Macaca fascicularis: one gene and its partner. The protein of the gene in region 1 binds, or shares a complex with, the protein of each later gene. Links are inferred from orthologs where the notes say so. Each region holds a gene or a part of one and is shown on either strand. Other genes may lie near its edges. The genes, in order: EIF3D and EIF3L.

Evidence for each region.
Region 2: EIF3D (region 1) and EIF3L share a complex: the UniProt entries of both Homo sapiens proteins name them as parts of the eukaryotic translation initiation factor 3 (eIF-3) complex. The link is inferred for Macaca fascicularis from reciprocal best matches to the Homo sapiens genes EIF3D and EIF3L.

Annotation. Positions count from the first base shown.
Region 1 is NC_088384.1:15,146,960-15,150,768, forward strand, and holds part of EIF3D (eukaryotic translation initiation factor 3 subunit D), read left to right. Parts: intron 1-3,538; coding exon 3,539-3,681; intron 3,682-3,809. UniProt on the Homo sapiens protein: mRNA cap-binding component of the eukaryotic translation initiation factor 3 (eIF-3) complex, a complex required for several steps in the initiation of protein synthesis of a specialized repertoire of mRNAs.
Region 2 is NC_088384.1:13,770,839-13,775,306, reverse strand, and holds the start of EIF3L (eukaryotic translation initiation factor 3 subunit L), read left to right. Parts: upstream 1-1,647; 5' UTR 1,648-1,678; coding exon 1,679-1,711; intron 1,712-2,539; coding exon 2,540-2,588; intron 2,589-4,099; coding exon 4,100-4,310; intron 4,311-4,468. UniProt on the Homo sapiens protein: Component of the eukaryotic translation initiation factor 3 (eIF-3) complex, which is required for several steps in the initiation of protein synthesis.

The DNA of each region.
Region 1 (3,809 bases):
GAGCATGACTGTGTGTGTAGAACTATGTTAAGTGTTAAGGACTTTTCTGCTTATTATTTACACAGGAACCATTTAACTCCCTTCTTCCAGTACTTCATCTCTGTTCCATTGTGGCCTCCTGTTGGCTTCTGCTCTCTGAGCATCTGATTTTTTCCTCTCCTTATTATCTGGGTTGGCAGTTTCCTGTAAGTCTGGCCGCTCTTCTTTTTGACCTCTTCTTTCATTGACTGAGCCACTGCCTTCAGTCTTTTCATACCTTTTTTCCAATTCCTCATTTCCTGAACTCATGGATTCTACGATCTGGCTTGGAATTGATGCTTCAGAGGCACCTTGAAAGAAACATGCTTCCTTCACTTTTCCTCCACTTTCCATTTCCACCCCACCCCCACCCACATCACCTGTTGGAGGAGCACACTGGGAGGCTTGCTGTGACCTCCCTCTGGGGCCAGTGGCCTTTTCTTGGACTTTTCCCGGTGAGCTCCCCAAAGCATTCGGGGTCGTTGCACCTGTGTTGCTTTGCCCTCTGTGTTACCGCGTTACTCTGGTCTCACCCATTTCCCTGTTCCCTTCACATGTTGTCTTTGCTGGCTCCCCTCCTTTTTGACCCATGGAGTCACCTAGACAGCTCTCTTCGCCACACGTACTTCTTTATTATACAACTTTGTGTTAGTTATCTTTTGCTCCATAACAAATTAACAGAAACTTAGTGACTTAACAATACCGATTAATATATTTTATTTTTATTTTTTATTTTTTATTTTTTGAGACAGAGTTTTGCTCTTGTTGTCTAGGCTGGAGTGCAATGGGGCGATCTCGGCTCACCGCAACCTCTGCCTCCAGGGTTCAAACGATTCTCCTGCCTCAGCCTCCCGAGTAGCTGGGATTACAGGCATGCGCCACCACGCCCAGCTAATTTTGTATTTTTAGTAGAGACGGGGTTTCTCCATGTTGGTTAGACTGGTCTCGAACTCCTGGCCTCAGGCGATCCGCCTGCCTCGGCCTCCCAAAGTGCTGGGATTACAGGCATGAGCCATGGCACCCAGCCTAACAATATTGATTTATTAGCTCACATTTTTGTAGGTTAGAAGTCCAGTGCTGTGTGCTTGGTCTTTGTATTGGTCCATTCTCGCACTGCTGCAAAGAAATGCCTGAGAGTGGGTAATTTCTAAAGAAGGGAGATATAATTGGCTCACAGTTCTGCAGGCTCTACAGGAAGCGTGACTGAGGAGGCCTCAGGAAACTTGCAATGGTGGCAGAAAGCAAAGGAGAAGCAGGCACATCTGACATGGCCAGAGTAGGAGAAAGAGAGGGGGAAGTTGCTATACACTTTTAAACAACCAGATCTCTTGAGAACTCTGTATCACAAGAATAGCGCCAAAGGGGAAAATCCACCCCCATGATCCAGTCACCTCCCACCATGCTCCTCCTCCAACATTGGGGTTTACCACTTGACATGTGATTTGGGTGGGACACAAATCCAAACAAGGCAGAAATCACAGTGTCAATAGAAACAGGACTGAGTTCTCATCTGGAGGTTCTGAAAGCCATTTCCAAGCCCATTTTCATTGTGGGTAGAGTTCATTTCCCTGCAGTTAGATGACAGAGGCCCCCATCCCCCTGCCAGCTGTCAGCTGGGAGCCTCTCTCAGCTCCTAGAGGCCACCTGCATTCCTTGTCACATGGCCCCCTCCATCTCCAAGCTAGCAACAGCACAGCAGATCCTTCTCGTGCTTCAAATTTCTGACTTCCTCTGTCTCTGATCTCTACACCTAGATTTGAGAGACTCATATGGTTGGGTGAGGCCCAGCCCCAGGTAGTGTATATTAAGGTTAACTGATTGGGGGCCTTACATCTGCAAAATCCCTTTTGACATACAAGGTAGCATAATCATGGGGGTGATATTTGATCCTAGCCATAGGTTCTGCCTGCAGTCAAGGGGAGGAGACTCTGCAAGGGCAAGGGTCACTGGGGATCATCTTAGAATTCTGCCCACCCCAGGCCTCAACCATGAACTCTTTGAAAATGATTTCTCAAATCTACTCTGATTTATTACACTTCCCATTGTTTTTCTGCTAAAACACCTTCCCCTTCCGTGTGCCCCCCGTCCTGTCATTGCCTCTGGGCCAGCTGTCCCTCAGCATTGTCTTTCTCCCACCTAAGCTCTGAGCCTCTAATATCTCCAACTCCTTTTTTACATTTGCTATTAGCAAAATAGAAGGCTTTGCTGTCTTCTGACTCAGTCCTGGATTTCGCTGATACCAAGCCAATACACAGCTTCATCAGCAGTGCAGACTGGGAGAAGGACTCTAACGTGCCCCAGCAAGCTGCACACAGTAGTGCGCACCTGTAATCCCAGCTGCTCAGGAGGCTGAGATGGGAGGATCGCTTGGGTTCAGGAGTTCAAATCCTGAACTCACCAGCTTGGGCAACATAGTGAGACCCCCCATCTCAAAAAAAGCAAACGCACAGCGGTGCTGCAGGATAGCTTAAATTTTTTAGGGAAACACCAGAGACGTCTTGTCGGAATACTACTACATGGTTTGAACCTAACTAAATAAAAGGAATTACTGGCCAGCCACTGTGGCTCACGCCTGTAATCCTAGCACTCTGGGAGGCCGAAGCGGGCGGATCACCTGAGGTCAGGAGTTCGAGAGCAGCCTGGCCAACGTGGCGAAACCCCCCCTCTACCAAAAATATAAAAATTAGCTGGACGTGGTGGCGGGCACCTGTAATCCCAGCTACTAGGGAGGCTGAGGTAGGAGAATCGCTTGAACCTGGGAGGTGGAGGTTGTGGTGAGCTGAGATCACGCCACTGCACTCCAGCCTGGGCGACAAGAGCAAAACTCCTTCTCAAAAAAAAAAAAAAAAAAAAAAAAAGGAATTCCTGAGTATTTCTTTTGCCCTGTGGTTGCCATGAACCAAGAAAGTTTGGGAACCTCTGTCATGTGACCTTTGACCAGTCATTTCACTCTGGGTCCATCTTCCCACGTCTGTAAATGATATGGGTAGAAAAGAGGATCTCTTTGGGGTCCTTTTCTGCTGTGTGCATTTATGTAAAATGTCAGACTCAGCTTTGCCCCCACTGCAGGCTTCCACCCCCATCTAAGGCCAACTCCGCCTGTCTTTCCTATCCCACCATGCCTCTCAGATCAGGAGCTCCTGTCTGTACCTGCACTTGTGCCAATATTCTCCACTTGGCTCACTGTTACACATCCTCTGTGAAGCCCTTCCTTACCATGCAACACACAGTAGACACTTGCCTCTGCTGTTTAAAGTGTGTGTGTGTGTGTGTCCATGTCCATCATTCCCTGGCTAGGTGAGCTTTTAGAAGAGAAGAGCTGTAAGTCATTGAGTGCCAGCTTGCGGCAGGCTGTGCAAGGGAAGGGAGCGTGTCTTTGTCTCTTAAATGGTAAGATTTAGTGCATACCTACCCACTTTCTAAGCAGGCAGACTGGGGAGTTCCTTCTCTGCCAGAGGAGGTCCCAGCACCTTGGGCATTTAGAGCTTGCTTCTGCTTCTCTAACGGGGCTCTCCTGCAGCACTGTAACGGCGTTGACTGGCGTCAGAAGCTGGACTCTCAGCGAGGGGCCGTCATTGCCACGGAGCTGAAGAACAACAGCTACAAGTTGGCCCGGTGGACCTGCTGTGCTTTGCTGGCTGGATCTGAATACCTCAAGCTTGGGTGAGAGGCCTGTGCGGGAACTGGCAGCTGATCTTGTGAAAGGAAGGGTCTGGGTAGGGAGGTTGGCCCTCCCCTCCCCGTGTACTGGACTGGCAGAGATAAATCCAGGGATGGGGTAGAGATGGAGG
Region 2 (4,468 bases), about 1.4 Mb from region 1:
GAGACTGGGACTCTTCCTTGGTTCAGGGAGGGTCCTGAACCAAATCGAAGGTCTGTAAAGCTTAAGCTCCATTATTTCCAAATTTGTATCACCTCTGGTGACAGCGCAAGGAAGAAACAGAGAGCAATAACGCAGCATAGGGAGTTGGGGCCGGGCATTGCAATTCTAAATAGGAGGTCGAGTGAATGGCATCAGAGCAGACACCTAAAGATGCCACGCAGATATCCAATGGGGAAGGGAATGGGAGTGGGGGCACCGCTGCATTCGATTCTAGACTTGGATAACAGTGAGTGCAAAATCCCAGAGGTGGAGTGTGCCTCAGTGGGAAAAGCGAGGAGGGCAGCGTGACAAAGGGACCCAGAGAGTCCTGGTCACACAAGAAATCAGTGGTGGAACTAAGGTCCCTCCTTGACTCATACACTGGTTTTTATTGGTTTGTTTTATAACCCCATCTCTACTTTGACGGTTTCCCCCAGACTCGAACCCGGTGTACTCAAGAGCTGCCCCTGTCCCAGGCTTCGCGACACAGCTGGCCTCGTCTTTGCCTACTCCAACTTTAATGTCCAAAGTTGGGTGGCTCCTGTTTCCCATGCCCTCTTACTGCATAGGACCAAATCTCAATTTTTTTTTTTTTTTTTAAGACTGAGTCTTGCTGTGTCGCCCAGGCTGGAGTGCAGTGGCACGATCTTGGCTCATTACAGTCTCTGCCTCTCGGGTTCCACCGATTCTCCTGCTTCAGCCTCCTGGATAGCTGGGATTACAGGCGGACGCTACCACTCTCGGCTAATTTTTGTATTTTTACTAGAGACGGGGTTTACGACATTTTGGCCAGGCTGGTCTCGAACTCCTGACCTCAGGTGATCCACCCGCCTCAGCCTCCCAAAGTGTTGAGATTACAGTCATGAGCCATCGCGCCCGGCCAAATCTCAACTTTTATCCCCAGTAAGTTTAGTCTTGTTAAGTCCGAACGTTTTAATAATTTACTCACTGCAGGCAAACCGCTTACAACTAAATCCATCAGGTCCCCGTATCCGAATCTCCCTTCACGCGAGAAGCCGGCCATCTTTTGTGTGGCATTCTTTCTGGTTTCTGTAACTTTGCCCCTCCTTTACCCCAAATACGTGTCTTTATATCTGAATCTACACTAGTATCACAGATTCACCTTCTTTGAGAAGCCTCTATTTGAAGAAAAGAAAATTCAGGCTACTTGTAACCCTCTTATTATTATTTTTAGACGGAGTTTTCGCTCCTGTTGCCCAGGCTGGAGTGCAATGGCGCGATCTCGGCTCACCGCAACCTCCGCCTCCCGGGTTCAAGCAACTCTCCTACTTCAGCCTCCCGAGTAGGTGGGATTACAGGCATGCGCCACCACGCCCGGCTAATTATGTATTTTTAGTAGAGACGGGATTTCTCCACATTGGTCAGGCTGGTCTCGAACCCCCGACCTCAGCCTCAGGTGATCCGCCCGCCTCGACCTCCCAAAGTGCTGAGATTACAGGCGTGAGCCACCGAGCCCGGAACCTCTTCCTTCTTGATATGGCTGTCTCAGATGGCCAGCGGCCTCGGAAAGGCTTCCGGTTTCCCGGCAGGCCCGAGGGGGGCCGAACTTCCGGCCTAAGGACGCAGGCGCGGGCCGCTCGTTTCGGTCTTTCCGGCGGTGCTTGTGAGCCCGGTAGCCATGTCGTATCCTGCTGATGATTATGAGTCGGAGGTAAGGTGGCCCTAAGCGCGCGGTGAACTTCACGCCGGGGAGATCTGTGGGACCTCTGGATGTGGGTCCCGGCGCGAGGCAGCTTCTGGGCCGCGGCCAGCTCCGGCCTACCTGCCGCGCGGCCCTCAGGCTGCTCCCTCTGTTCCCGGCCCCTAGACAACCCTGGCTCTGCCCGCCCATTTCGCGTGTCCGGTTCCCTTGTCCTTCCCCTTTCTAAGACCGGAGACCAAGGCTTGTTAGACATTTCTGTGTTTCTGCCCCTGAGTTATTTTGGTGTGGGCTCCGTCAGGTCAAATCTCGCTGATTCCCACAGCCTCTTGTCCTTTGCACCCGTAATGTATTGTCATTGTCTGTTTACTGTCGCTTTTCTCTAAGGCGTGTGAGTTCCTCAAAGGCAGGCACAGTGTCTTTTTTTTTTTTTTTTTTTTGAGACGGAGTCTCGCTCTGTCGCCCAGGCTGGAGTGCAGTGGCCGGATCTCAGCTCACTGCAAGCTCCGCCTCCCGGGTTCACGCCATTCTCCGGCCTCAGCCTCCCGAGTAGCTGGGACTACAGGCGCCCGCCACCTCGCCCGGCTAGTTTTTTTGTATTTCTTAATAGAGACGGGGTTTCACCGTGTTAGCCAGGATGGTTTCGATCTCCTGACCTCGTGATCCGCCCGTCTCGGCCTCCCAAAGTGCTGGGATTACAGGCTTGAGCCACCGCGCCCGGCCAGGCACAGTGTCTTATCCGCCTCTGTATCCTTAGCTCTCTGCTTGGCATCTAGACTCTAGGATGAGCGTTTTGAATTCACGAGTTGGCGACTTTACTGACTGTCTCTTTCCTTCTAGGCGGCTTATGACCCCTACGCTTATCCGAGCGACTATGATATGCACACAGGTGAGACCACGGCTTAGGCTGGCTGAGTACTCGTAGGGATCAGTTCCTTTGCAATGTCTTAGAACCAGCTCTGACAGGCACCTGTTAAAAATTGCTCTTTGGTGGTCCAGGTTTGGAGTCAGTCATTACCTGCTGGTGCGTGGGGTTGTATAAAGCCTAATAAACCAGGCTTTTTATCATAGTCCACCTCAGTCTTGGAAGAGAAAGATTACTTACCGGGCTATGGTTTTCTTGTGTAAACTATTAGCCAAAGAAGAAAACTTTTTTTTTTTGAGATGGAGTCTCCCTCTTTCCTCCCCGGGGCTGGAGTGTAGTGATGCGATCTCTGCTCATTGCAACCTCCGCCTCCCGGATTCAAGCAGTTCTCTTGTCTCAGCCTCCCAAGTAGCTAGGATTACAGGCACCCACCACCATTCCCGGCTAATTTTTTACTTTTTTTTTAGTAGAGACGAGATTTCGCCGTGTTGTCCAGACTAGTCTCAAACTCCTGACCTCAGGTGATCCACCCGCCCCAGCCTCCCAAAGTGCTGGGATTACAGGCGTGAGCCACTGCACCTGGCCCAAAGAAGAAAATCTTGATGTGAAAAATTTAATTCAAACCAAGCCCAGATGAAATCTTTTGGGAGGTTTCCTGAAATGTTATAGTGACTGGACTTAGTAGTCAGTGTTATCCATTGTTCTAAGTACGTTGTATGCAATATTTTGTTTAATTCTTACAGTGGTTCTGTACATTACTGTTGTCTCCTAAAGAAGAGAAAATAGGCCGGGCGTGGTGGCTCACGCCTGTCATCTCAGCACTTTGGGAGGCGGAGATGAGCAGATCACGAGGTCAGGAGATCTAGACCATCCTGGCTAACACGGTGAAACCCCGTCTCTACTAAAAATACAAAAAAAAAAAAAAAAAATTACCCGGACATGGTGGCAGACGCCTGTAGTCTCAGCTACTCAGGAGGCTGAGGCAGGAGAATGGCTTGAACCCAGGAGGCGGGAACTTGCAGTGAGCGGAGATTATGCCACTGCACTCCAGCCTGGGGGACAAAGTGAGACTGTCTCAAAAAAAAAACCAAAAAAAGAAGAGAAAATATAGCACAGAGATTTAATACTAACTTGCCACAAGTCATATATTTAGAAGGTGACAGTTATTCATTCAAGAAATATTAAATACCTGTTACCACTTACATTCCAACAGTCTTGCCTCTCTCCCCTCTAACTCATACTTTTCTAGGCCCTGAGGGTACATCTGAGTACAAGACAGACAAGATTCCGACTTCCTAGACTTGGGAGAAGGGTGCAAAACAGATAATAAGTGAAAAATAACTTTAAGTCGTGGTAATATTTTTGAAGAAACAGGGACAATGAGATTGGGAGTGAGTTGAGATGTTTGTATCTCTGAGTGTTCAAAAGGGAATTTTACTCAGACCTGAGTTTAGTTTCTGGGGCGGTCTTGCCATTTTGTTCTATCATGTATGTGGGTTTGAAAGCACTCTGTGTTTGTTTTATCCAACCTCCAGGAGATCCAAAGCAGGACCTTGCTTATGAACGTCAGTATGAACAGCAAACCTATCAGGTGATCCCTGAGGTGATCAAAAACTTCATCCAGTATTTCCACAAAACTGTCTCAGATTTGATTGACCAGAAAGTGTATGAGCTACAGGCCAGTCGTGTCTCCAGCGATGTCATTGACCAGAAAGTGTATGAGATCCAGGACATCTATGAGAACAGGTATGGACTACTGGCTGAAAGGCCCTCTTTCTGGGTGGGACTGGCCTGGTATTACAGTTCCTACAAATGGGGCGAGCACTTTGTAAACAGTGCTTGGGGGGGTGGTCTTTGTGAGTCCTTGTGGCTAGGGACATTTTATTTTGTTAGACTTTATTTTA